Linked DNA regions of Rattus norvegicus. The protein of the gene in region 5 purifies or fractionates together with the protein of the main gene of each other region. This does not show direct contact. Links are inferred from orthologs where the notes say so. Each region holds a gene or a part of one and is shown on either strand. Other genes may lie near its edges.

Region 1 (3,500 bases), on a different chromosome or scaffold from region 5:
CATCAGCAGTTACACAGCCCAATACACTCTACCACTAAACGCATACGAACAAGAACTGAAAGTGTATGTCCACACTAAAACTTGCATGCCAGTTGGCAGTATTCTTCATAATAACTACATAGGGGACACAATGCAAAATATCTACTAACTGAAGAGGGGTTCAACAAAACCTGCATAAGCGCAGGAAAACATTAAGTTCTTTTCTTAAAAGAAATTGTTCCTACTAGAAACACAGTAGAGAAAAACATGCCTAGTAAAACCAGACCTCAAAACCACACACTGTCCTTCTTTTTATCTAAACTGTCCAGAATAGGCACATCCATAGAGACCACAGAGGGTCAAGGAGCTAAAGTCACCCATCGGGTCACTGCCACAGGATGACAGGGATCTATCTGTACAGGAGCCATGACAATGCTCTGGGACTAAACAGCTGGGATACTTTTCACGACATGGTGGTTACACTAGAGACAAACAGATTGTATGCTTTGAACTTCTATGGTAGGCCAAACTACCTCACTTTGTTTTTTTAATTTAGTTTCTGTTAGTTGTGTTTTGCCTGTGTGTATGTTGTATATCATGTGTACTTATATGTGGTACCAGCAGTGGTCAGAAGAAGAAATCAGGTCCCATGGAACTAGAGTTACAGGTGAGTTGTGAGCCACCATGTGGGGGCTTAGGAATCAAACCCAGGTCCTCACAAAGAGCAACAAGTGCTCCTAACCACTGAGCTAGCGCTCTAGTCCCTCACATTACTTCTTAATCATTAAAGAAAGTTAATTAGAAACCAAACAGAATGCAAGTGTTATATTACTATCATAGTTCAATTCAGAAGAAACTGAATCACAGCAATAATAATTCAAATACAGGAAGCTGTCACACTGTATGCAGACAGGACTGCCAGACGGACACCCGAGGGATGCTAAATACTTCAGCTGCATGGCACTGAGCATGGCTAAGCTGCAATGCGCCATGGAACAGGGCTGTATCTTCATGCACACCTTCCCTATGGTCTACGCATTTTAGAAGGCATAGGAAACAGGCAGGCTTTCTCCAAGGTATCAGCCAGGATCTACACCGATGTCATCTATCTGTCCCAACTTTGCTTTACTATATAAGCAGTCCCATTCTATACCTCCTGAACCACAAATCCAATGCAGATATATTTAACATCAGGTAAGTGGTATCTCTGTTTACAGAAGAAAAAACAGCGAAGATAAGGGATTCTACCAACAAGAAGGGGAAGGAAAAAGGGAGGTGACAATGTCACTGCATGGGAGCTAGTCGTCCTTTCTCATCATCCTCCACAGGCTGCCACATTCTAGAAAGCTCGCAATTGAGGTGCAAAGAAACCATCCTGAGTTTTCAAAGTTAGAACTGTTTTAAAGTAAAAGTTGTGGTTACAGAAGGGGAAATTACCTTAAATACAAAAAGCCTTTAAAATACTGAGCAAATGTGTTTCTTAACTATCTGATTTGAAAAACATAACTTCTGAATACTTACCTAAACAACTGTATAATTCTCTACTGGTTTTTAAATCCATTTTCTCCTGCTCCTCAAGTGAGACGTCTGGGTAAGACACTGTCTTTTGGCGCTTACTACTATCATGAGGCTTTTCTGACTGTTTGGAGATGGACTTACTTGTCTCTGCCTTGGTGACCGCTTTAGACTGGGACGCAGCAGAGGCGAGCGACACATTCGGTGCAACCACTTTGTCACACATGTACAAGTAGTAGCTGAGACAGAGGGAAAACAAAGCACACATTACATCACACTAAGTGTGCATTAGGATGTGACACCCACCACTCTACACCCTCAGGGCTACCAGAATAACCAAGATAAAACACAAAGAATCCAGGCCATGGAAAAGACTTCTCAGAAAAGAAAGTCCGTACTTAAGACAGCAAAACTGAGGGATTTTGCTATTTTGAGAGTAACTTCAAAACCCTAAAAAATAAATAAATAAAATTAGAAAACAAAAGTGAGTCTCTTCCTCTTTCCTTAAGACCACCTGACAATTAAAAAGGATGGAAGCCCAAGCCTGACACCTCACATCTGTAGCCCAGGCCTGCCTCCTGCGCTCTACTACTTTCTCAACACACGAGTAACTACGGATGCCAACTCCTGGGCTTCTCAGCAGCTCTGTTGGTGAGGCCCCAGGACCTTACACACCTCAGCGAGAGCACAGGAGTACTGCCCAACTGCCCCACAATCCTTGCAACAAAATCCATAGAACAGTCTCTTAAAATTATGAATGAAGCAGCAATAACAGACACTACAAACCTAAACTAAAAGGACAACACTGATTTTTCTCCAAGTTCACGTAACTGTGAGCTTGAGTCATCTACGAGTCTTACATAACAAATTTGAGACACTTTACAGAGTTTGATCTGTAATTTAGAATCTAAGTAACCTTCCAAGAGGAGAAACGGTCCCTTATCTAACCCTGCCCTACACTTTCATCTCCTTTTACATCTCAATTTCTTTTTTCTAATTCTTCCCCTCCCTCCATTCCCTCCAGTCTCTCCCTGACTTCCCCCCAGATCCACTCCTCCATTTTTCTTTAAGGGGGAGAGGAGCGCAGACCGCCCAGGGATACCAACTGAACATGCCCAGCCTCACACAAGGCTGGACAAGGCGACTCAATAGAAGGAAAGGGCCCCAAGCACAGACAGAAGAATCAGATGTCCCACTTTCTCTCTGCAGGATGCCTGTGTTACTACTCTTTATCTCTAGGTCCGAACACTTGGTATTCTAATTAAAAATTAAACAAACCCTTACGGATTTAATATCGCCTAGAAGACTTAATAAGAAACTGTATGATAGTGATTTGTGCACATCTGTGAATTTTAAGGTTCAGACTGAACTAGGATTTTTATTGAAATACAAACTCTTGATTTTGAAAGATGTGGTTATAAAATTTCCAAGTTTCAACCATTTGTTTTTAAAATTACTATGTGGGGTACACACTTTTAATCTCAACATTCAGGAGGCAGAGGCAGGTAGACAGACCTCTGTGAGTTTGAGGCCAACCTGGGCTACATAAGGAGGCCAGCCAGGGTTACCTAATGAGAACTGGTTTCAAAAAATAAAAATAAAACAAAAAGCAAAGTAACACATTCATCTCTTGAGATAAAATAAATTGATTCAATTTCTACTTCAAGATTGAAATTTTATATACACCCACACAAAAGATGCATTCAATCCCAATGTTCTTGCCTAAAACAACTCTGAATTAGCATTAGCTAACAAGGAAAACCTAAAGGTAAGCGACTTAAGTCTTAATTCCTAGAACTGTAGGAAGACAGCTGTTAATAAACAGATAAACAAACCAACTAAGAATCAACCAGTCAGGGAAGGGGTGGGAAAAACAAACAAACAAGCACACAACCACTAGGCAAGCTCAGGCTCACTCACCTGGGGTGTAAAAATGAATGGGTCTGAGGACCGTGGTCACCTTCCTGTTTTATAACAGGATACCATGGTGGCAATTCCATTCCCGA
Region 2 (3,500 bases), on a different chromosome or scaffold from region 5:
CCACCACTGAGGCAAGGACTGTATCCCTGAGCTTCTGTCTCAGCTAGTTAGTGTCTACTAAGGCAAGAACTTCAGCTCTTCAAGAGAAAGAAGAAAGGGAAAGAAGAAAACAGTACTACTCTTTTAAACTGAAGCCCAGTGTCTTCAATTGCCCTGCACAAAAGCACGGCTATTATTTTAACTCAGGACAATATTCTGCTCGCTGTTTTCTTCGGCCAAGCCCCTGCTTGCAATGCACATCTGGTTTTCAGAGACCTGGTATCTAGGGCATCTGGATTTGACTTCTTCCCTTACCCCTAAAATGTCGCTTTATCCCTCTCTCGGTTTACCTACCTACACAGTAGAACTACAGAAACTAGGTGTGGTTAGCCCTTGTGACATTAGTTGATATTAATAATAATTAAAAAAAAGTCCAAATATTTGACAAAAGAGGAAAAAGTAATAAATCAGGAACAAATAAAATAAAAACAGAAAAATATCTGGCACCACTAGGCATTGAACAATGGAGCAATTACTCAGTCATTAACAGTGACTACACAGGGACATGAGACCTGAGGGTCGGCATCGAGAGCTCTGAGGTAGGGCAGATGCAGTGAAACAGGCATCCTCTCTTTTCTAGAAAATTTGAGTTGTCTGTGTGTGTCCGCTGGAGGCAGGGAAGTGCTGAGTCATTGTAAGAACTTAGATTCAAAGCAAATAAGATTGCCAAACAATAGCTCCTAATCTACAAACCCTGGTCATTCTGTACAACCCAATATAGTTCAATTTTCGGGAATACAAAAGAATTCTTAAGAAAGCTACTGTGAAATAAAAACGTGAAACAACTGATGTGACCCCCGTCACTCTTGGAGAGGGCGGAAGAAGAGAAGTCAGGCAATGTGTTCATGCAGGCCACAGTGCCACCAAGGCAGGTTGTCCACAGCAGGCCATTTGGAGAGCAGAACGGGTTACTTCCTGTTCTGACCTTCTGCGTGATAATTTTACAACCATTTGAAGAGCAGTTCCTCTATTTGTAAATATAAAAATCCACGCTACTTAGTACATATTCCTGTTGCTAAGCGTGGTGTGCAAGTGCCAGACTGAATAAAGTATGGATATTAATAACTTTTTTTAAAGGTACACTGTCTGGGTTGAGTTAGGAAGAAAAGGACATCAGAAACTCTTTATGATTGACTTCCCCAGCCCCAGCCCCAGCCCCAGTCCCTGCCCCTGCCCCTGCCCCTGCCCCAGATAATGTCTCTCTCTTGTCTCAGCCTCCACACTACATCCTCCTGCCTGAGTCTCCCAGTGCTGGGATCACAGGGGAGCTCCTCCACAACCAGCTTGCTGCCCACTTCAAAGACCAGAGACACCACACATGGAAAAGGAGACAGGCGAAAGCTTTTCAAATGGCTGCACTCTGGAAATCACTTCAAACATCTCACAGGAGCAACAGGAAAGTTTGCTTTTTCTTTAAAAAAAAAAAAAAATAGTGTCTTATACATACTGATTCCAGGAATGCTTTCTATAGGAATCTGCCGAACTCCATCTTTGAAACATGAAAGTCCAGGGTAGACTTTTCGTATCTGAGCTTGTTTCCTTTCAATAAGCTTTTTAATGATCTGAAAAACATGGGGGAAAGTGTGATTAGTCAAAGAAGCCACAGCACAGACCAGGACAAGTCAGATAAACCAAAGACGGTGTGCCTGGTGCTGTACATATTTCAATAGGACGAAAAGGGAAGGAAGGCAGAGTACACACTAGCAGGTAAGAGACAAAAGGGTTGTGAGGCCAGAGGACTACCACCAAGTCCAAAGGCCTGAGAGTTCAATCCCTGGGACCCCACATAGTGAAAGGAGAGCACCATCCCCAGGAAGTTGTTATCTGGCCTTCACACATACATAGGTATGTGAGTGCCTTCACATAGGTGGTACATGCGTGCATATGCATGTGCGTGTGCATGTGCGTGTGCATGTGCGTGCGCGTGCGTGTACACCTACACATCCCACATAAATCAATACAATACACAAAGTTTAAATATATCTTTTAAAAGAAGTATTTTTTAAATACCATGCCCATCTAGTAACATTCACCCAGCCCCTTGCCACTAAGGAAAAAACCATCAGAGAGAAGAAGGAATGGGGCCGGTTAGAGAGGTTAGCAGGGGCCCCTCTAGGCCCAGCCTCTTGCCTCACATATGGACTGAGATATAAGAATCACACTCCACAACAACCTATTCACAGGCATGCACACAGGCAGCCATGCGCCTCCCTGCCTATCACCTTTTCTCCCACTCTTTCTACATGGTCCTGTCCACTCTGTGTCCTTCTTATTCTGTGCTGGACACGGACCTGATCTTTGTTCATCATCACCCCAGTGCACACACACAGGTATTCTATGAAGCTATCGCACCTGTAGAGATGGCTCTCTCCACCTTCAGCTGATTTGGATCAAGCATTCATTCCTGGACTAAAAGAATTCTCAGTGTGCATCACTCATTCCGTACTCAATGGGCTCTCCACAAGTGGAGTCTCACATTTTAGACGATTTTGGATTTTCTCATTAAAAATGCTCTATCAGTAAGTCAATAAAAATATTGAAGAAGGAAAAAAAACAGATTCTAAAATACTCGGTTCAGGAGCATTTTGGACAAGAGATGCTTAGCCTGTTTCTACAAGAAAATACTTCTTTTATTGTGGCATGGTTGCAGCTCTCTTTTAACAATCTAGTTCACGGGGTTGGGGATTTAGCTCAGTGGTAGAGCGCTTGCCCTGGGTTCAAGCGCAAGGCCCTGGGTTCAGTCCCCAGCTCCGAAAAAAAGAAAAGGGGAAAAAAAAAAAAAACAATCTAGTTCACAACACTGAGAATAAGGCTGTGAGGGTACAACCCCAAAGGCTCAGAGACCATCAAAGATGAGAGGGCATGGAGAAGATGAAGGCAGGAGGAATGTTGTGAAGGGAAGGCTGCTCAGGACACAGACCACTGACACAAAACGTACGCACATGAACACACAGCAGCAGTGACTCATCACCTGCACGAGTGTTACAACTTGCCTCACTGAGAGGGTAAGAATGCCAGATGCCACCCCCTTAGACAAGAAGCTAATGGAACTGATGGCTTCAGAGGGAGAGTCACTTTTCTTTGTAAGTGTGGCCATTGATAGGTTGTCAGCGCCTCAGTGGATGACCCCATGCATGGGTGTTCGTGGGCGGCACTAACTAGAATTAGTGATTCAGGGGTTATTTTTTAAGATATAAAGTTGGGAGTCATATGGATGATATATTGATGCTGGGGGGAGGAGCAGAAGGTAGATATGAGCAAGATACTTTGTATATGTGTGGGGGCAAAAAAGCTAGGTTAATACTCCAAACACTCTTCCATTCAATGGTGTGTGTGCGAAAAGACCAGAGACAAAAAGGGTAAAAGAGAAAGGGGGGAGCCAAGAGGAACAGAAAAGAGGAGAAGAGAAAGACATGCCTTTTTAAAAAAAAATGAAAAAAATCTAGCCATATGAAATAGCT
Region 3 (3,500 bases), on a different chromosome or scaffold from region 5:
CCGGTGTCCGAGATGAAGGAATTGGCACAATTCCGCCTTTTTTTTCTCCTTTCCTCTCTCTCTCCCTTTCTTTCTTTCTAGATCATTCTTAACCTGCTCTACACAGATGCTGGGTCCCAGGCTCACCCACTAAAACTGGATGTACCCATGGATTCATTTCTCTTGCTGGCTCCCAAACTCCATCCCTAGCGTCTGGACCAGCGAGAGTGGACAGTCACCCATCCACCACAGTCTGTTCTGGGGGGGAGGGGGCTTGGAAGGGTGCTTCACACCACCACCACCATCTCTCATGGCGCCGGAACCCCAAACTGCATCACAGATATGACCAGAGACTGGGGACCCGCACACTTTCAACCTGTCCGCAGCTGCGCGTGACTCCCACCGCTATGGGTGCTGGCAAGCTAACGGACTCGGCGGAGGAGGCCGCGGGAGCGCACCTTGGAGCCCAGGCCTCCGGCGGGAGCCACCCACCGACCTCCCCAAGAAGGGACATCTGGGGGTTCTGGCTCCTTCAAGGCAAATAAAGTTTTCACCTCTGTTTCATTCTGACCAACCGAAGTTCCACCACAGGATTCCTCCCAGGAGGAGTGAGGCGGGAGGAGGCAGCCTGAGCCTTGATCCCCTTCCCCGATGCTCACTCCCTTTCCCGCACTCAGAGATCCAGCGCCCCGAGCCCCCGCAGCTGCCGGGCCTCGATAGAAGCCGAGACCCCGGCGGCCCCGCCTTCCTCCAAGTAACGGGAACTGGAGCCGGCCAAGGAGGGCGCGAATGTCCCCGTCCGTCCCCGCTCTCCCGCGTTCATCCCAAGTTTACTGAGCACCCTCAACCTACGCGCCAAGGCTGGCTGGCACCTCATTCCGCCCCAGACACAAGCGCCCTCGGGTACCGGCACCCTGCGGGCATCCGGGCCAAGCCCGGGAGCAGCTGGGACTGCCAAACGGCACCCAATCCGGGAAAGGGACGCCTAGCTCGGGGTAGCGGCCTGCGGCTGCGGGGAAAGGAGCGCACGGGATCCCGGAGAAAGGAAGCCGGGATGTCCGGGAGGAGTGCGGGGACCCCGGGGTGAAGGGGGCTGGAGGAAGTTTGCAACTCACAGCGGGCACCTCGGGGCGTCTGGGGCCCCAGCAGGGAAAGAGGCAAGAACCATGCCTGGGAGACGTGAAGAGTGAACGAGCAAGGGAACCTAGGCTGAGATGGTAGTGGGCGCACAGGTGAGAAGGGGGATCTGCTCGCGGTGACCGCTGCGGGGTAAGAAGATCAGGGCCACCTCGGTCCTCTGAGTGGGGCCACCAAGGTTAGAGTCTTGGAGGGCACCCACGGGCACCGAGACCACAGCGCGGAAGATTCCACCGGGCCTGGCCAGGGGTTGGGGGTAACCAGTCTCTTACCTTGAAGGCCACGGGCAGGGTCTTGTTGCACCGCCAGTGCGAGGGCAGCACGGAGCACAGGAAGTTGGGGCTGTCGGTGCGGACCAGTTCGGCCGGGTGGTCCGCGATGATCTCCACCATGGTGCGGTTGTCGTGCGGCGGCCTCAACCGGGGCACGGCTGCCGCCGCTGCTGCCGCCGCCGCTGCCGCTGCTGCTGCTGCGGCCGCCTCCTGCTGCTGCTGCTGCTGCTGTTGCTGCTGCTGCTGCTGCTGTTGCTGCTGTTGCTGCTGCTGCTGCTGCTGCTGCTGCTGCTGCTGCTGCTGAGCAGCCACTACCGGGCTCACGTCGCTCATCTTGCCGGGCTGCAGGCTGCTGGAGGGGGGGCTGAAGCGCCGGCTGGTGCTCGGATCTACGGGAATACGCATCACAACAGCCACAAGTTAGCGAAGTGGCCGGGGGAGGGGGAGGAGGGTGGAAATGGGGGGCGAGGTGGAGGAAATCGAGGGGGTGGAGGCGAGACGGGGGCGGGAGGGGGGAGGAAGAGGATGGAGGTGACGGGACAGAAGAGGTGAGAAAATCAAGTTCGAGAAAGCCGAGTGCCGGCGGAGTCAGCTGGGGGCCGGCGGCTGGCGACCCCGTACAGTCGGGTGGCGGGTGGGGACACCCGAGCGGGGCCGATCTCCACCGGGAGGCTTGGGAGCCCCCGGCGGTGGCAGCAGCGAGCGGGACTCGGGGGCGTGTTTGTCCCAGCCGAGGCAAGGGACTTGAAGTTAGCAGCATGCAGTTGTGGGGCCCCTCGGGGCACCGTGTCCTAGGTGCGCTGACGACCCACTCCCGGTTCCAGTTCCGTAGTGGAGCCCGGCAGGTTCAGCAGTCCATCTCGGCGGCGCGTGTGACCCTTCGCTGTCCGCCACCGCCAAGCCGAGCGTGGCTGTCCAGCTCGCGGCGCCGTCGCCTGCCGGCGCCTCCTTCTCCTCCTCCGAGGCCGCTGCGCGCTCCCCTCGCTGCCTGCGCGCTCCGAGTCCTCCGGCCGCCGAGTCCTTCCTTGCCCCGTTTCTCTCTCCCTCTCACTCGCCTCCGTCTACCTCGCAGCCCGGTCCCTCCAGCTCTTTGCCAAGTGCCCCGGGCCCCCCTGGCGTTTCAAGGTGCCCGGAGGTAAGTGGGGGGTGGGGGGGAGCGGATCTCGGGGCGACAGATCTGGAGCCTGCGGATCGCAGCCGCTGCCGCCGCCCGCCGGCCGCCAGAAGCGCCGGCACGCTGCGCTCGGCGCCCGAAGTTGGAAGGAGGCGGTCCCCGCCTAGGACATCGCCGCCTGCGTCCTCCGCTCCCCCTTCACCCCCAGGACCAAGAACCTCTTCTCGATCTGACTACGATGAAGCTGAGAAGCTAGAGAGTCTCAGGCTGCTCCTGCTGACGTTAATTTTTCGTTATAACTTCAGGAGTGGAGGAAGGAAAATTCTCAAGTGTCCGAGTTGACTTCTGAGCACTCTTCACCCTTCCCCCCCAACCCCACCCCACATTGGCTGGGGCGGGGGGGGGGGGAAGGTTTTTACAGACTTCGGGGGTGGTTTTTCCCCCCTTAGGTGACATCAGAAAAGGGTGACAGGAGGGCATGTCAAAATAGTTTTAGAAACTCTAACGGATGTCTGGACATTTTTATTATACAGTCCTTCTTGTCATTACTGGAGAATAAGGATGGGTTGCTTTTTTTTTTTTAAGAAATAAAAAAAAGACAGCTTGGTAATTAAAATAAGTTGTAAGTTGCAAAAACGCTTGCTGAGAAAGGGGAAATACACAGCGGTTATCCATTAATTTTCCAATCTTTTATTAAGTCCAGTCTTCGTCTCAGACTAAGTCTAGTGTCTTAAACTGTCTTCCTCGCCGCTCCCCACTTTGGAGGAATAAAAGTAAAAGGTAAAAAATGGTTCAGTAATTATTTATTTATGTATTTGTTTCCCGGCGTTTTGGGGGTAGGCGATTTTGGAATCCCCAAAAGGTTGTGGTTGAGAGATGAAGGGGTGTGGGGGGAAAAAAGCAGCAGTTTTTACCTAAAATGTGGTTTTTGGAGGCTGGGATTTCTAATGATTAGGTTTTTGTGGTTTATATAGACACGACCCAAGCTAAGGCGATCA
Region 4 (4,087 bases), on a different chromosome or scaffold from region 5:
AGCGGAGGTCGTTGAACCGGGCCACTTGGTTCTTCATGACAGCGGAAGCGTTGCGCAGCTCGGCGGAGTAATTCTCGTCATTGCCCGCCATCACGGTCACCACCGTTCCATCAGGAACATCCCCCAGTGCCACCACCTGAGGAAAGAGGACTGCTTAGGAAGGCTAAAAGGAGGGGCTCACGCAGCTGCCTGCCTGAGTCCCAGGCTCGCTGAGGAGTTCTGAGTCGGGGGTGGTAGAGGCTTAATGGTGTGTAGATCCGTTCCCAACACAACCAAACCCAAAATGATGAACTTTCTAACCCCCATACCCAAATCTTGGATCCAGTGACTGATGAGAGCCCCAAGAAGGCACCCGTTTTTATTAAATTAAGTCTAAGACAGAGCTGTCAATCAGCAAGGTCACAGGTAAGGGTGGGGCGGCAAGGAGGCTACACTGCTCTCCGCCAAAGAATCGGCAACCGTAATAACGGGGCTAACCCTTGCAATCAGTTAAAGCATTGGCCCTTTGGGGTACGAAATATGGTCCTGCAGTGTGACCAAGGCCCAGTTAGATGGCCTCAGCGGAGCCTGGATTCGTTCTGCAGAGAAAATGCAAAATGCAAACCAAACTGCTGCTTTGCAAGTTGATCTAGAAAACCTGGGGCCAGAGGCCGGGTGGTTTCGATAACTGAGCTTGTACCTGCTGGGAACTGTTGGATGGGTGGGCGGAGATGTCCCTTAAATGTCATCTCTCCCCCCTCCTTCCCACCCAAGGCGCATCAAGAGGCAGATGCTTTTTGAACCAGACTTTAAACAGAGTCACAGCCATTTAAACGTGGCTGCCGTGTGCAGGGACTGGAGATCCAGATGGTAAAGATTTCAAGGAGAAAATGTTTGGGGTCTGATTAAAAAGGCCAGATTTCCTGTCAACATCCTGTCTTCTTTTAATTTCAAAGATTCCTTTTAAGCTCCAAGTGACAGTAAAACCTCCGATCTGACGATTACAGTCACACGGGTCTCCTCCCCCCTCCTCCCCTCCTCCCCGGGAGATTTCCCCCGCTGGTATTTTAAGATGTCACCCGGGAGACCTCAAAGAGTCACTAGTCTTTTTTTCCCCCCTTTTCCAATTTGAAGTCTTAATGGGAGCAAGGAGGACCTCAGCTGCCAGCAGCCGGCGTTTCCAGCCGCTTCGGGCATCACTACCTCCCCAGTCGCTGTCCTTCCTACTCTGTCCTTTCTCACGGCAGCTGCGAGAGGTTTAGGGGAAAACCAAGGCGTTTTCGTTTCATCTGGCTGCCCCCCTTAACAAAAAGAAAAGAAAAAGAAAGAAAGAAGAAAACGAAACAGTTGCCTATCCCTGGTATAGTTGAAAAAATAAATTCTCTGAAGGACTCCGGGCAAACAGGATGGAGGCGCTCCCCAAGGCTCTGCCTATCATTAGGGATGCAGAAGGTCGGAGGCAGCCCTTTAAGACCGGCCTACGGCCGCCCTGTGCAAAATTTCAGCCGGCGACGTTGAGAGTGTGGGAAGGAAGTGTTTCTGCAGCAGAGCAGGAGGCTCGGCGCCTGCCGCTGGGTAGGCCAGGCCCTCCTCGCCCTCTGCACCCTACACCTCCCGGGTCCTCGCCCAGCTCTGGCGGTCCTCATCCCGGTTACGGGTTAGGCTGTGCCAAAGAATCTGGAAGTCCCAGCCCGCCGGTTTCCATGCACTGTGCAGGGCCCTGCGAAGGCCAGGTGGAGCGGGATATAGCCCCGTCAAGCTGTCAGTGCAACCGAGAAGGAGCGCCCCAAATCTCCGTGTCCTGCGGGCAGCGAGGCCGCGGTGCACCGTTCTCAGCGCGGGGTTCCGGGTACTGGCTCCTGTAGTGGGAGCGGCGGGAGTACCCCCCACGCCCAGTTCTCCTGGACGCCCTTCTGGTATCTCTCCTGACTGATGTCACCATATTTCTCTCTGGACCCGGGCTCAGGCAGCGGGGACACCCAGGTTCCTTTCATGTTCTGCCGGGCCTGGGCTCCTGCAGCGTGGGTGACCAGGCACTCCTGTGTTCTGCTAGCCGAGTGATCCCCTTTCCTCCCACCCCAGTACCTCCCGTATTCTCTGAGTCTTGCGGGGTCGCCTGGAGTTCAGCGGGGGGTCCTTCCGGGAGTGGGATCCTGCAGTAGGGGCGCCCGGGTACACCACGCCGGTGTCTTGCCAGCTGGGTGACATCCCCTTCCTTGTCCTAGCAGCTAGGTCTCCCCAAGTCCTCCCTTGTCTGGGCTCCTGCATTGGGGGCGCCCAGGTTCTCTCGTGTCCTCCCGGCTCGGCCCCTGCACTCACCTTGAAGGCGACCGGCAGCGTCTTGTTGCAGCGCCAGTGCGAGGGCAGCACGGAGCAGAGGAAGTTGGGGCTGTCGGTGCGCACGAGCTCTCCCGCGTGGTCGGCCAGCACGTCCACCATCGAGCGCACTTCGGGCCGGGTGCGGCCGCCGGGGCCCGCGGCCGCCTGCGCGCTCAGCGCGCCGCTGTTCTCGCCCATCTTGCCGCCGCCGCCGCCGCCGCAGGGGAAGGCCGTGGAGGGGGGAGTGAAGCGGCGGCTGGTGCTCGGGTCTACGGGAATACGCATGCCGCGGCCGTCAGGGCGCGGGCGGCCGCAGCCGCGGGAAGCGGGAGGCGGGAAGGCGGCGGCTCGGGGCCCGGCCAGCGCGGGGGAGGGGCGTCGCCGGGAAGGGGGACGCCCCGACGGTCGGCCGCGCGCCCGCTAGTCCCGCATCCCGCGCGCGCGGCCGCCCCACCGACTCAGCGGCCGCGGCCCCAGCCTGGATCCTAGAGAATCAAGTGGCGGCGCCGCGGCCGCCCGCGCGGGGTTAGTACCCGGGGCCTCGGGGCGGGGCCGTGCGAGCGACGCGGGGCGCAGCCAATCGCAGCCCCCAAGCTCGGGGTTCGCCGTGGAGGACCGGGTGGCTCGGGCCCGCGCGAGCCAAGCAGGGGCCAGGCTCCTCCCTGGAGGGTCTAGACACCCGGGTCCCGGGAGCCGCGCGGAAGCCGCGGTCCCCTGGAGTCAGGAGCAGCCGCTGCGACCTGGGCAAAAATCGGTTTCCAGCCTCCTGGGTGCGCCTCGGTTCCCCTCCCTCGAGTCGCAGCCTGGCTGCTTCAACTCTAAGTCACCGCAGCCCGGAACCTGCACCCTCAGCTGGTCACCGCGGTGACACCCAAAGACTGGTTCCTCACTCCCTCCACTCCACAAACGATTTTGACCCTAGAGTTTCCACCCCACGAAGGATTCCACAGCTCTGCGGGGCCTTGGCCCTCGCCTCTGTGGCCTCTGTGTCAACCTTCGAGGCAGACAGAATGGGGGTTGTCACACGGACCAGCAGTGGGATGGGGACAACCACCCTGTTCCTGCCCACTCAAAACTGGTTTCAGGATCGCGCAGGCCTAGTGGAGCTGTTCTCTGTCGAGGCAGCGCGTGGCTCTTTGAAAAACACAACAGGGCCTACAACGGTGTGCATTTTGGAGTCATGTCACCCCACCACACACGCACGCAGTATACCGTCCGGTGTAGTGGAAGTGGATGCGGGTCTGTGACAGAAAGAAAACTGTCGATGACTTAGCGAGCAGCCGGACCGCTTTCTCCCCGTGGATAGAAAGGGGTCCTCCCAGGGCCGAGCCATCATCTTCTCAGCCTTAGTCCGCTGAGTCCACAGCGCTGTCAAGTGCCCTGTGGGAATTCGACCCTGGGGTCTCCATTGTTATTCTGCCTGGTGGCCCAGCCCCTCCTGGGGGGGAAATGACAGCAAATCTTCCCTGTCCCGTCTCCTAAGCCTGGCATGGGTGTACATACAGCTAAAGGGCCCACAGTCACTGAGGGCCGCCCTCACTCCGCGCGCTCCTCCCTGGACAGCTGCAACGAACGCACATGTTTCCCTCGGTGCTTTGGAAATTCGACTGCATTTTCGTTGGCAGTGGCGGTGGACCTGTCTACAACGACCAATTTCAAGACCCAGAAGCGACACAATCTGGGACCCGACTGGGAAAGCGTCGAGACCTCAGCCTGGCTCTGACCTCAGCCCAGCACACTCCATTTTGTCAAAAAACGAAATCAGGCCCTGCGTGCATGATGGCGGGGT
Region 5 (4,015 bases):
AGCAGGAAGCCAACTAGTCGCCTCCCCAAGACGTGGCCTTTAGCTTTCTGCCCATGGCCAAAACAGCAGCAGCTGTTGCCAAGGGAGACAGGGTGACCCAGAGGCGTGGGCACAAAATCCAGGGATGGAAATCCACCTTTGTCTGGATCCACCCAAGCAACTGGGTCTCACTAGTTGAGAAAAGATGAAAGAAAAGAATCCCAGGCCTGGGAGGGTAGGTCAGCAGCAGAGGGCTTGCCTAACATGCAGGAAGCCCTGGGTTCGGTCATCGGTTGCAGCCAAAGAGCCAACGAATGAACACCCCGCTTCCTTACCTGGCCTCCTAGGCCCAGGCTGAAGGTACCCAGTCCTAGGAGGCTGGGAGCACAGGCATTAGCCTGAACTCTCAGTACCACACTAACTTTTACCTGCCGGTGAGGAAGGCACAGCCTCTCCTCCAAGCTGCCCCCAGCCCAAAGATTAACCAAGAGCCTTGCAGGCAGAAGAGATCTACTACCCACCCCGGACAAAACAACCTGGGAGAAAGGGTACGCCAGATCTAGTCGAATGCTTTGCCTCTCTAAGTTCTGTCACTTTGAAAGCAAGATCGTTCTAGACCTCCGTGCCTTTTCTGTGTCCCGGTTCTGTTGTCCTCCAGGCACGTTCGTGCCTTGTAAATTGTGAAACACTCTGCAGCTTCGTAGTTGATAGCTCTGGAGGAGGGCTCAGAACAGAAAGCGCTTGGGCTGGGTGCACCCAGGCAGATTGGGAAAAGGCTGCGTCTCCAGATCTGACAGAGCCCTATGAAACTCAACCATCCTGCTCCATCGAAACGATAAAGGAGAAGGGGAAACCGGAGAAAACCACCACATCACACCAGGTCCCCTGAAGCCGGCTGGCAGAGGCTCAGAGGCCGAGCAGACAACACACAGCCTTCCCTCTTCAGTAGGATCCACCCACTCAGGTTTGGAGTTGATAAGACTTTTATTTTTGTTTGGTTTCTTTTTTTTTTTTTAAGTCGGCATTCCCACCATATGTGGTGTTTATTTCCAAGGAAGGCCAACCCTAGGTCCCTGTGGACAGACATTGTTTTGTGCCTTACTATCAGGGCTGGCAGCCCATACACAGCTGCCTTGAGCAGGTGGCCAAGGATGGAAGCTACCAGGACCCAGAACAGTGATGACCTCTACTAGTGTAGGTCCTGGGAGCCCTCCCCCCATCCCTCTGCAGCCAGGGACGTCCCCAAACATTCCCACCTGCCCCTCATCTGGAATCAGTCTTTAAAGGTGTCTGAGAAGGAAAAAACAAAACAAAACCAGAAGACTAAAGTGCTCTCACCCCATTGCCCAGACGCGACTATGCTCTAGAAGGCCTTGGGAGCGAAGTCACTGACCCCTTCCATCAGCCATCTGTGAGCTCCCGCCCGACTCCTCTAGCCCGATGGGAAGGATAAAGGAGGTCAGGACAGATGGCAAAGCGCTTTGGGAAAAGAGGCTCTACAGGAATGCAGGGCCGATGGGAGGCCAGCCCTAGGGTGTTTTGTTATCTGCCTGGAGCTGCCTGCTCGATTCTAGGCACCAGAATACCCTGGATTTAAAAGATCGCAAACCAGCAGGGGTGGGGTGGGAAGAGGGAAAGCCCCTACTTTCTGCCACTTGTTTCTCCCGCTTCAAAGTCGGTGCTCTGCTCTCTAACTAAGTGCGTGCGTGCATGCGTGCACAGGGGGCGGGAGGCTGGCACAACCAAATCTAAAAATACTCAGTAAAAATGCTAATCCCAAGGCAAAGAAAGAGCGAAGAAGGAATCTGTCAATCAACGGGCTCCCGCTCCTCACCCACAGCTGTACCGACTGCATTCCTGTAGACGAGGAAAAGAAATGGGGGAACAGAGCTGAAGAAAAGAAAGGGACACACGCCACCACCTCCAGGAGCCCGGGGCGGGAGGCGGCGGAGGAGGAGGGGCTCGGCCGGCAGAGCCGAACAAAGCGGGGCCTCCACTTGGAGCCCGAAGCCCCGAGAGTTAGGGGGCCAAGCTCAGAAGCATCCCCGCTGCCCAGAGGCAGCTGGCGATCGTTAAGGTCTAGAAGCCAAAATGCCGCACGGAAGCCTGGGCTCTGAGCCTGGACAAATCCGAAGGTTTTGTTTGGGGTCCCTCCACCCACTCTCCGTCCCCTACAGGCGCGCGCGAACACACACACATACACACACACACACACACACACACACACACACACACACACACACACACCCTCCCACCCTCCCTCCTTATCCAACACACACACACACACACACACACACACACACACACACACACACACACACACACCCTCCCACCCTCCCTCCTTATCCAACCGGGCCGCGCTAGGGGGCTGGGCCGGCGCGTCCCCCCACCCCTCGCCGCTCTGGGACCCCACCTGGGGATGGTAATGCACTTGGTGTTCACGTTCTGCGTGGTGATGGCCTTCTCCAGCTCGTCCAACTGCCCCGTCTTCTTGAGCTTCTTCACCAAGCTCTTGACCGCCTTCTCGCACCACTTCTCCTCCTGCCCGTTCTGCTCGCCCTTCTTCCAGCCCAGCAGGCGCTTCACGATCGGGGGGGTGAAGGGCAGGATGGACGACATGGCTGGCACGGAAGGGTCACCGGCGCCCCCGGCGGGGCTGGACGCACTGGGGACGCCGGGGGCGCACAGAGGCAGCTCGGCCTGCGCCGCGCCCGAACTTCGCTTTTAACTCTGGAGAACTTGCCCAGGCGTCCCGGCCAGGATAGCGGCACTGCAGTTGCGGGGATCCGGAACACGGCGGCGCCCGAGCGGCTCCACGCGGACCGACGGACTGACGGACAGGCCCGGGACGCGCGGGGCGGAGGCGGCGGCCGCGAGACTCCGAGTGCCAGTAGAAAGTTTGGGTTTCCGCACGGGGTAGCTGTTTGGGTGCCGCCTCCGAGAAGGAAAGTCCAACCCCCAGCCAAACTTTGCTGGCCTGGATGGCTTTGGTGCGCAGATCCCTCCGCCTCTGCAGCGCTGCTGCTCCTCCCCCTGCGATCGCCGCCTTGCAGGACCGGCCAGGGCCGTGCAGCCGTGCTCCCCGCTCCTCTCCCGCCCGCTCCCAAGTCTACGTTTCACGCAGCTCCGCGTGCAGCCTCCTTCCCAACGCAGTCGCCGCCCCCTCGCTGCCGGGGCTCCCCGCTCCTCCCCCGCGCCCTGCTCCGGGGAGGACCCGCGGCCTTCCCCGCCCAGCTCCGCCAAGCGCGCCCACGTGGGCCACCGGGCACGGCGGCCGTCAGCTCTGCCAAGTGCCGCGGGACCCGACTCCTGGGGACTCGCTGCCCCCAAGACGTTCAGATGTAGTTGCAAGGACTAGAGAGGATTAGACTCGCAGGGAACAGGCACGGTCCGCCAAGGGCTGGCTGCACCTGGGAGAGGACCCGGGCGCGGCGAGGGGTTCAGAAAAAGCTCGGGGCCCAGGAAGTTGAGGCGCGCTGATCTCGCTCAGTGGCCGGGGCTGCTTTAGGTGTTTTTTGTTTTGTTTTTGTTTTCCTGCTGGGTGAGATCAGAACGGCTGACTGCCTGAGACTACTGAGGAGGGAGTTGGAAAACGGGAGAGGGAGACTTAAAAGGGGAGTTACGAGACCTCAGTGACAACTTGAACAATAGCTGGAGCCAGGGGTCCTTTGGGACCAGTGAACCAAGCTCTTTACAGAAAAGGAGCCTCAAAGACATCTGTTGCGTTCCTGAAGGAATGAATGCGGGCGCTTTAGGATTTTTCTTTGGGGGAGGGGGAGAATTAACATTACAGGGTGTTACTGAAGATCCGAAATTCAACACCAAACAAGTAAGAGAGCTTTTGTTTACAAATCAGTGAACTCGCGCGCGCGAGCACACACACAAAGTATAGAGCAAGCCTGGAGGACTTAGGAAGTTTATTCAAAGTTAGCCTAGGTGGGAAGCCAAGAGAACCTGACTTGGGGTAGCTCTAGGGCTTTACCGCAGACTGGGCGAATGCAGGGCTGGTTACCCACCGGTCCCTCTACTGATTTGA
Region 6 (4,141 bases), on a different chromosome or scaffold from region 5:
CCTCAGGAAACAGTTCCTATGAGATACCACAAAGACAGTCATTAGAATCATACGATTCAAATGCAGAAATTGAAACATTATTTTCTACTGCACAGAGCAGCTTTCCAAAGCACTTTGGCATATTACTCAACAACTAAAAAGGGGTCCAGGGAGTTGGTCCATGGGAAGAAAAATCCTACCATCACACCAGCTGCTCTCAGACCATGAGTTAGTAACACCTATCCCTAGTCCTTCCCCATCAAAGTCACCTAAAACTCTGATACTTTCCAAGTCTTCAATACCAAAATTAACCCCTGAAGCCTCCCTTTTATCGGCTGACCAGGATCGGTTTATAGATACCTGCCACAAACTCCACAATTAAGATTTCTAAGCCACTGATCTCATTTCTACTAAAACTCCCCATGTCAGTCACTATACCAGGAAGACAGAAACCAACCTGGACTGTAACTAAAACCAGAGCCCAGTGTCAAAGAGCAGACTTTCACAAGGATGGGTGTCAAAGAACCTAACTTCCTAACTACCACAGAAACACTCGAAGGCATCCACTGAGCAGGTCTCCTCCAGAGCAAGTCTCCAGGGACAAAGATGTCCAATATGACCAGAGTCTGGGTTCTAGGTCAAAAGTTGTTATCTACTCTGACATCTTCAGAGAAAAAGTGTCAATCTTTTCTTAAACAGAGCAAACTTTCCAAGAATTCCCACCATGATCAAAAGCCTTACCCCCAGGCTCGGCCAGAAAGGGCAAACAGAGAGCCTTGGGCTAACCACACTGCTTTGGAACCGAAAAATCCAGGGAATCCCTGCAAGGCCTCAGACTTTAAAGATGTGTTTCCTCTTCTGAGCTGGAAAGCCCCAAGGCAGGCCCTCTGCCCGCCAACCCTGCCATGCAGCCTTAGGGATGGACTCAAACTGGTAAGGTCTGCAGGTAGAGAGAGGGAGTAAGGAAGGAGAAGCTGAAGGCAGTGGACTGGACTCTGGACCAGCGAAGAGGGGCAGCTATGACAGAGAGCTCGCCTCTCACCTGCATGCAAACTAAACGACCCTGATGATGTCAGACCCACCGCCAAGCTTGGCGCTCACCTTTGAAGGTGCATTACAGAGCGCCTAGGAAACCTCCACATTCCTCTGAAGACTCAGGGGAGCAAGGAGTCTGCACTAGAGCAGCCACCACAGCTCAGCTTGTGTGGGAGGGGATTCAAGGATGTGGCAAGGAGGTGAAGGCGTTGCAGAGGAGGTAGGAACCAGACTCAGACTCTGCAGAACTGAGTGGCCTGGCCTCAGGGAGAACGGAAGTGGACTAGACTGGAGAGGCCTGGACCACTGATGAAGTGGGGGAAGTGAGAACAAGACAGGCGTTTGGTCCCAGACAGGATTGAGGAATTTGCGACTGAAGGGTGGAGGCTGGAAGACAGAAGCGAGTGGGAGGGACTGAAAGATAAGTGAAGGCGGGATCAGGCAGGGACGAGGGCGGGGCTGGGAAGGGGAGGACAGTAGAGGGGGCGGAGCCAAGGGAGGAGAGGGAAGCTAGAGAGATGGGAGATGAGGAGGGGGTGAGGAGGTAGGAGAGCAAAGAGAAGCAAAGCAGACGAGTAGGGGGTAGGGTGCTTCGAAGGTACCAGGAGGGAGAAGTGAGAAGGCAGACAACAGGTCATGGGAGAGGGTGGGAAGAAAGAAAGGAGGGGAAGTGATGAGAAGCCAGCCGCAAGGGAAGCAGGAAGGGGACAGGTGGGAGGGTAGTGAGGGATGGCACTAGAGGGGGACGGCAGGTAGGAGGATGGGTGTGAGAGAAGAGATGGATGATGGATATGTGAGGTGGGGGTGGGAGAGAGCAAAAGGAGGTGCAGCGAGGGGGCGGGATCTACATGAAATTGAAAGTAGGTGTGTGCTTGAAGGAGCGAGGTACAATGCCAGGAGAAGAGCAGGAAGGGAGGAGCACTAGGAGACCGGGGGAGCGCCCCGAGGGGCGGTACCTATATGCAGCTGAGGGTAGGTGTGGGGCAGAAAGGAGAGCCAGGAGATGATCCTGTAGAGGAGGAGCTAGGGGGCGGGATGTGATCCAGAGGGTAAGGTTAGGGGCAGAGGAAGGTAGCTAGGGGGCGTGGCCCATATGCAATTGATGATAGATGTGGGCAGAGGGAGTGGGGAGGGGATAGGAGAGAACCTGACGAGGGAGGAGCCAGAGGCGGGGTAAGAGAATCAGCCAGAGGGGTGGAATCCATGATAGAGGGATGAACAGCAAGCCAGGCTTAATGCAGAAAAAGCCAACTGCCTGGGCCTGCAGAGCAAGCAGGGGGCGGGGAATGATGCAGAGGGAGGAGCCATAGGGCGGGGCAACAAAGCGACAAAGTAATCAAAGGGTGGAGCCTGCGAGGGGGAGGGAGCGGGAGTCTGCAGAAGAGTCCAGGGCTGAGCCTAATTAAGGAAGGGGGCGAGTCTGCAGATCAGCGAGGCGTGGCTTGATGCAGAAGGAGGGCGGGGCTGCCGCAGCGGGGCGTGTCCTGATGTGACGGGGCGGGGCCTGATGCAGAGGGAGGGGACCGGGCGGCAGGGGCGGCGCCTGCAGAGCACCCGGGGGGCGGGGCCGGGAGCGCGAGCGAGGGGCGCACGCCGTAGGGGGTGCAGCGGTCCCGGGACAACGGCCGGTGCCGAAGGGGCGGGGCGGGAGTCCGCAGGGTCCCCGGGACCGCCTTGGGGCGCGAGGGCCGCGGCCCTGTCGTGCCTACCTGTCAGACGGATCTTGATGCTGGAGCCGTTCCTACGGGTCCCGGGGTTCGACATCTCCCGCCAGCGGCCGGCCGGCCTCGGATCCAGTGCCGCCGCCCCCCAGCCCGGCCCGGCCCGGCCCCGCCGCCGCCTCAAGGTTACGGCCACGGGCTGGGCGCCGGGGTCCGAGCCGGGACGCCGAGTGCGCGGCGCAGGCGTCGGGACGGAGACCACGGGCTGGAACCGTAGAACTGAGCGCTCAGCCGCGCTGCCGCCCGGAGCCGCTCCTGGCTGGCCCAGCCCGGAGCCGCCGCGCTCGCAGCCGGACGCCCGCCGCCCTCGCTGCTTCCGCCGCCGCCTCCCGAGCTGCGCGCGCCCGCCGCCGTGCCGGCCCGGCCCTGCGCGGCCTCGCGCTTGCGTGCGTGCGCGCGCCCGAGCACGGCGCTACGCCGGCCGCGCTTGTCCTGGGCGCGCGCAAAGGGGTCTAGGGAGCTGCAAGGTTCCTGCAGCCGGCGGGGAGCCTTGAAACTGACACCACCGCCACCACCACCCCTCACACATAGACATGTACACACAAGCGGCGCCGTCCGAGCTGGTTCTTAGTCACAAACTCAGAACCGACTGATTCACTTATGCGACGATTTTCGGAATCGATTGTTTCTTCAGTGTCGGACTTTTCGAGGCTCCTGATGGAAGTCGGGGTGTTGCATGAAGCCCCAAGAACGGTGCGCGCACGCGCGCATGGGCACGCGTTATCGTTCTTGAAGAAAAAGCGTTTAGATCCTGCAAGTTCCAAGGGAAGACTTCCCGCAATGATGGAGTGTCGGGTGTGCCCTGTGCAACTGGTGTATTCGATTGACAAAGTGGCTAGACTCACAGGAAGTGCGGCATATGGACCAGCTAAACAAGATGAAGGATGTAAATGGAGAGGTGGTGGTTTTGTGGTTAGGGACCTGCATACAATTGAACTAACCCAGAAAAGTAAGCAGTCGGGTTTGCGATTCCCTGCCTTCCGATGAACCCACCCCCAAGCCCCCAGAATGTTAGGCAGGTAAAAAGTAAAAGCCTTGCTTTCCCCAGCAAGCAAACCAATCTCTATGGTAACACATTCTAGAGAGGAAATAAAAAGGCCGCGTATATTTACAAAACTCACATCTGACACGAACCTAATTTATTTCATAGGCAGATTCTTGTAGTGGCTTTATGTGGCTTCCTTAGAACGAGCTACCCACAACATTTGACCACTCTCTTTGGAGACAGGGGCTCGTCTGTAGCTAAGGCTGACCTGAAAACTGTGATGTCCCTACTCAGCTTCCTGAGTTCAGGTATTACATAGGCTTGTACCTGTCCCTGTCCTAGGCAGTTTGGTTTTTATGAACCTGTGCAGCCCAGACCTTTGAATAATGGTGGGAAACTAAGAATAGGATCGTGTATGGGC
Region 7 (3,500 bases), on a different chromosome or scaffold from region 5:
GGCAGCTCGTGTCCTCAGATTCCACTTTAGTGAACAGCTGGGTCATTTTCATATCTGAAGATTCAACTGGTTTGAGGACAGATTCTGTTTGTTGAAGGGAGAAAATCAAGTCGTGCTGAATAATACCACTGTCAAAAAAGAGAGATTAGTATTTATAAAGAGCACTTGAAACAATGACAGTAGGGGGACTATAAAATATGATTTATATAGTAAAAGCATTTTAACATTCCTCGAGATGAATCATCTTTCATGCATACTTGCAACATTTCTTTTTTCCCCCAGTACTGAGGATTGAGCCTAAGACTTTGTTCATGCTAGGCAAGTATTCTACTATTGAGAAATATTTATTGTTTTAAAACACCAATATGAAGATAAAAACAAACGAAATTTACTAATTAAAATATTCAACTTATTTAAATTGAAACAGCATTGAGAATAGAGGCGATGACGAGAACATCTACAGTTAAAGTACGTGGAGGATACAAGCAGAGAGGACTTCTGTCCTGATGCTACAATGAAAGAGGCACAAAATAACTGTTCAGCATGAATACGTAAGGCACGTCTACAGATAATCTTAGAATACCATAATGGCTCCAGTCTTAATGAGGGGGATCATGTTTTCTTGGTGGAAATAATATGGGGATGTCATTCACAGGATAGGAAAGAAGAAAGAGAAATGATGAAAAGTCCACTCAGCTTCATGTCTGCATCAAGGTCCTCCAGTTAGCATATTAATGTTCAATGTATGAAATGAGGCTGAGCACAAAGATGAACGCATAAAACACTGTCTTCAAGCAGTTTATAATTCAATGGGAAACAGATAAACAGTTTCAATATCCTGTGATCACTACTACAATGAAGAAAGGATGTTTCACAGAAAGGCTAATAAGCAAAACTTGGGATCAGTAACAATCATGAGGGAGATAAGAAAAATAATTTTACATAAAGGCAAAAATCACAAGAGAACTCTTTGTGATTAGAAGTGGTAAGGCATTATTAAGTTTGATCCTAGCACTAAATATCCCCCTGAAAGAAACAACAACAAAAACTACAAGTTTTAAGATGCCCCCCTAAATGGCCAAAGTGGGGTAACTTGGATTTGGTGGCATCTATGAAAGTTGTGCTGGAAACTTCTGGTGCAGCCCTGCAATCCCACAGAGTAGGTAAGCTATGAACTCAAGGCTGGACTGGTTTACAGCGAGTTCCAGGCCAGTCAAGCCTACTCAGTGAGACAGGGTAAAGAGTATGGAACGTAAGAAAATGACTAACCACAGGAGAGCGCTCTGTCTGGCCAGCAGATGAAAATGTTTCGGTAATGAAGAGGAATTGACCTGAAATAACTTAAGAGTTCATAAACAAAGAATAAAGTCCCAGGTCACATTATACAGCCTGTCACAAAGATGGTCATTTAACCTTCTTGGGAAACTGAACTAGGAAAATTGATCCATAGACTGATAAACGAATGATATTATTTTGTGGGATCACTGGAACAGCTGGCTTGAGAAGATGGGTCAGGATATAGCTCATAATGCAGTAGAAAAAGATAAAAACAAAAGTTTTTATTTATTTTTCTTTTCAAGACAGGGTTTTTCTTTGTAGCCTTGGCTGTCCTGAAACTCACTCTATTGGCCAGATTGATCTTGAATTTATGGAGATCCACCTGCCTCTGCCTTCCAAGTGCTGCGATTAAAAATGTGTACTACCACTGCCTGCCAATTTTCTATCTTCTTAATAAAGGCACAGTAAATCCAAAGAGTTACCACTTTCTCTCACAAAAGTGTCTCTTTCCAAGCTTACCTTACAACATAATTCACACACACAATGCACTGTGGCTGAGAGTTCTTCGTATTATATATAACAGTTGCTTGAGTCTCAACCCAGACATATCCACCTCTTTTTGCAAGCATCCTGTACTGTCCTGTGGTGACTTGTCCTTTAGTAAACACTAGGGATAAGAAAGTACCACAAAGAAAATGTAACTGAATTTTCCATCAAATAAGTGTCAAGTGTAGATTGTTACATTTTGTTTTATTTAAAGACAGGATTTCTCTGTGTAGCCCTGGCTGTCCTTAACTCCCTATATAGACTAGGCTGGCCTCGAATTCACAGAGAACCACCTGCCTCTGTCTTTCCAGTGCAGGGGTTTTGGGGTAGGTAAGGGTAATGGTATGTGCTACCATGATTGGCTGGATCACTGTTTTATTTTTAAAAGGAGAGATATTTAAATAATATCTTTTATTATTTAAAATAGTGTGACTGTTTAAGCTCACAGAGAAGCCCAAACACAACTGAAAATAAACCTCAAAGTAAAACTCCTACCTTACTGAAAAAGAAGAAAGTCAGAAGTGAGGGACAGAGTGGCTGCGGTTCCTTTAATGATGTATGGTTACAGTCAGACTAGAGACTAGGCACAAGCTCATTCAAGAAAATGGTACAACTATTTCCTCAAGCAGCAGAGAAGAAACTATTCTACAGAAATTTGAATGTATAAGCTGTTATCATACTGTAGTCTTCCAGCAATTCGTGCAGTCTAAATTGATTCCTGACTGAGGAGAATGCAGTAAATCAGCCATAATAATGCTATCGTGAGTACCTATGCTCTGACTACAGTTTGGGCAAATCACACTAATTCAGTGATATTCAATCTGAAAGTTTTTTAGGTCCAGATTAAACAGGCCAGTGAGAAATTATGAACTTTAACTTACTTTGGGATCTTAGACTTCATCTGAGAAAAACCCCAGAAACTTAGCATATGTCAAGAGTGTCAGATATTAATTACATGTGTGTAATACTCATTCCACTCACTGATTCACGGAACACATGCTCTGACTACCTTCTATTGACCAGCCATCGATTTCACAATATGTGTATGGAGATAATCTATCATATTTGACTTTTATTTAGTTCTGTTTTTAAAATTCTAGGGAAGCTTTATGTATTATTAAGTGAATGGCTGTAACAAAACAGTAATTTCATGATCAAGATGTCTTAGGAAGAATCTGGAGACTGGGTAGCAATTTTAACTAGAAAGTTAGAGATACAACAGTAGAGACTGCAGGGCTTAAAGCAGTGCGACTACCTCCTTGAGTTCTTCTATTGTACTTACTGTCATGATGAGTTTTGGTCAGATGATCAGAGTCCAAAGCATGATAATATTCATAAATTGAACGGCCCAAAAGTTCTTCTGGCTCATAACCCATCAACTCAGTAATCCTGTTACAAAACAAAACAATATTCTTCTTCACTTAATAAGTTTGAAACGCACCTGTAACAATTCTATACTTAGTATAATAGCCAGCCTCTCTGTGTCATTTAGATCCATCCTTGATATTTGACTCTTATCCCTTTTACCCGAAATAATGACCTGTCTTAAAAAAACTTATTATACATACTATAGTTGTGGAAGCAAGATATTAATAAATACTGATAATGCAAATTAAATGACAAAAGTTCCAAAGACAGTTCACAATTAGCTTCAAATAAAGTTTAAATCTCAAGCA

What was found.
Region 1: the proteins of Smad3 (region 5) and Skil purify together in Homo sapiens (affinity purification with western blotting; 6 studies listed by BioGRID). This does not show direct contact. The link is inferred for Rattus norvegicus from reciprocal best matches to the Homo sapiens genes SMAD3 and SKIL.
Region 2: the proteins of Smad3 (region 5) and Kat2b purify together in Homo sapiens (affinity purification with western blotting, with the first as the bait; 3 studies listed by BioGRID). This does not show direct contact. The link is inferred for Rattus norvegicus from reciprocal best matches to the Homo sapiens genes SMAD3 and KAT2B.
Region 3: the proteins of Smad3 (region 5) and Runx2 purify together in Homo sapiens (affinity purification with western blotting; 3 studies listed by BioGRID). This does not show direct contact. The link is inferred for Rattus norvegicus from reciprocal best matches to the Homo sapiens genes SMAD3 and RUNX2.
Region 4: the proteins of Smad3 (region 5) and Runx3 purify together in Homo sapiens (affinity purification with western blotting; 3 studies listed by BioGRID). This does not show direct contact. The link is inferred for Rattus norvegicus from reciprocal best matches to the Homo sapiens genes SMAD3 and RUNX3.
Region 6: the proteins of Smad3 (region 5) and Smurf1 purify together in Homo sapiens (affinity purification with western blotting; 3 studies listed by BioGRID). This does not show direct contact. The link is inferred for Rattus norvegicus from reciprocal best matches to the Homo sapiens genes SMAD3 and SMURF1.
Region 7: the proteins of Smad3 (region 5) and Hif1a purify together in Homo sapiens (affinity purification with western blotting; 4 studies listed by BioGRID and IntAct, with this or other methods). This does not show direct contact. The link is inferred for Rattus norvegicus from reciprocal best matches to the Homo sapiens genes SMAD3 and HIF1A.

What each region holds. Positions count from the first base shown.
Region 1 is NC_086020.1:114,183,073-114,186,572, forward strand, and holds part of Skil (ski-like protein), read right to left. Parts: coding exon 3,415-3,500; intron 1,734-3,414; coding exon 1,501-1,733; intron 1-1,500. UniProt on the Homo sapiens protein: May have regulatory role in cell division or differentiation in response to extracellular signals.
Region 2 is NC_086027.1:6,893,145-6,896,644, reverse strand, and holds part of Kat2b (histone acetyltransferase KAT2B), read right to left. Parts: intron 1,602-3,500; coding exon 1,487-1,601; intron 1-1,486. UniProt on the Homo sapiens protein: Functions as a histone acetyltransferase (HAT) to promote transcriptional activation. Has significant histone acetyltransferase activity with core histones (H3 and H4), and also with nucleosome core particles.
Region 3 is NC_086027.1:23,741,558-23,745,057, reverse strand, and holds part of Runx2 (runt-related transcription factor 2), read right to left. Parts: intron 3,293-3,500; exon of another isoform or gene 2,213-3,292; intron 1,819-2,212; exon of another isoform or gene 1,794-1,818; coding exon of another isoform or gene 1,778-1,793; coding exon 1,389-1,777; intron 1-1,388. UniProt on the Homo sapiens protein: Transcription factor involved in osteoblastic differentiation and skeletal morphogenesis. Essential for the maturation of osteoblasts and both intramembranous and endochondral ossification.
Region 4 is NC_086023.1:152,676,359-152,680,445, reverse strand, and holds the start of Runx3 (runt-related transcription factor 3), read right to left. Parts: upstream 2,801-4,087; 5' UTR 2,584-2,800; coding exon 2,299-2,583; intron 137-2,298; coding exon 1-136. UniProt on the Homo sapiens protein: Forms the heterodimeric complex core-binding factor (CBF) with CBFB.
Region 5 is NC_086026.1:73,129,525-73,133,539, forward strand, and holds the start of Smad3 (mothers against decapentaplegic homolog 3), read right to left. Parts: upstream 2,801-4,015; 5' UTR 2,599-2,800; coding exon 2,393-2,598; intron 1-2,392. UniProt on the Homo sapiens protein: Receptor-regulated SMAD (R-SMAD) that is an intracellular signal transducer and transcriptional modulator activated by TGF-beta (transforming growth factor) and activin type 1 receptor kinases.
Region 6 is NC_086030.1:14,747,702-14,751,842, reverse strand, and holds the start of Smurf1 (E3 ubiquitin-protein ligase SMURF1), read right to left. Parts: upstream 2,801-4,141; 5' UTR 2,779-2,800; coding exon 2,724-2,778; intron 1,075-2,723; exon of another isoform or gene 1-1,074. UniProt on the Homo sapiens protein: E3 ubiquitin-protein ligase that acts as a negative regulator of BMP signaling pathway. Mediates ubiquitination and degradation of SMAD1 and SMAD5, 2 receptor-regulated SMADs specific for the BMP pathway.
Region 7 is NC_086024.1:98,394,398-98,397,897, reverse strand, and holds part of Hif1a (hypoxia-inducible factor 1-alpha), read right to left. Parts: exon of another isoform or gene 3,214-3,500; coding exon 3,107-3,213; exon of another isoform or gene 1,946-3,106; coding exon 1,798-1,945; exon of another isoform or gene 428-1,797; intron 129-427; coding exon 1-128.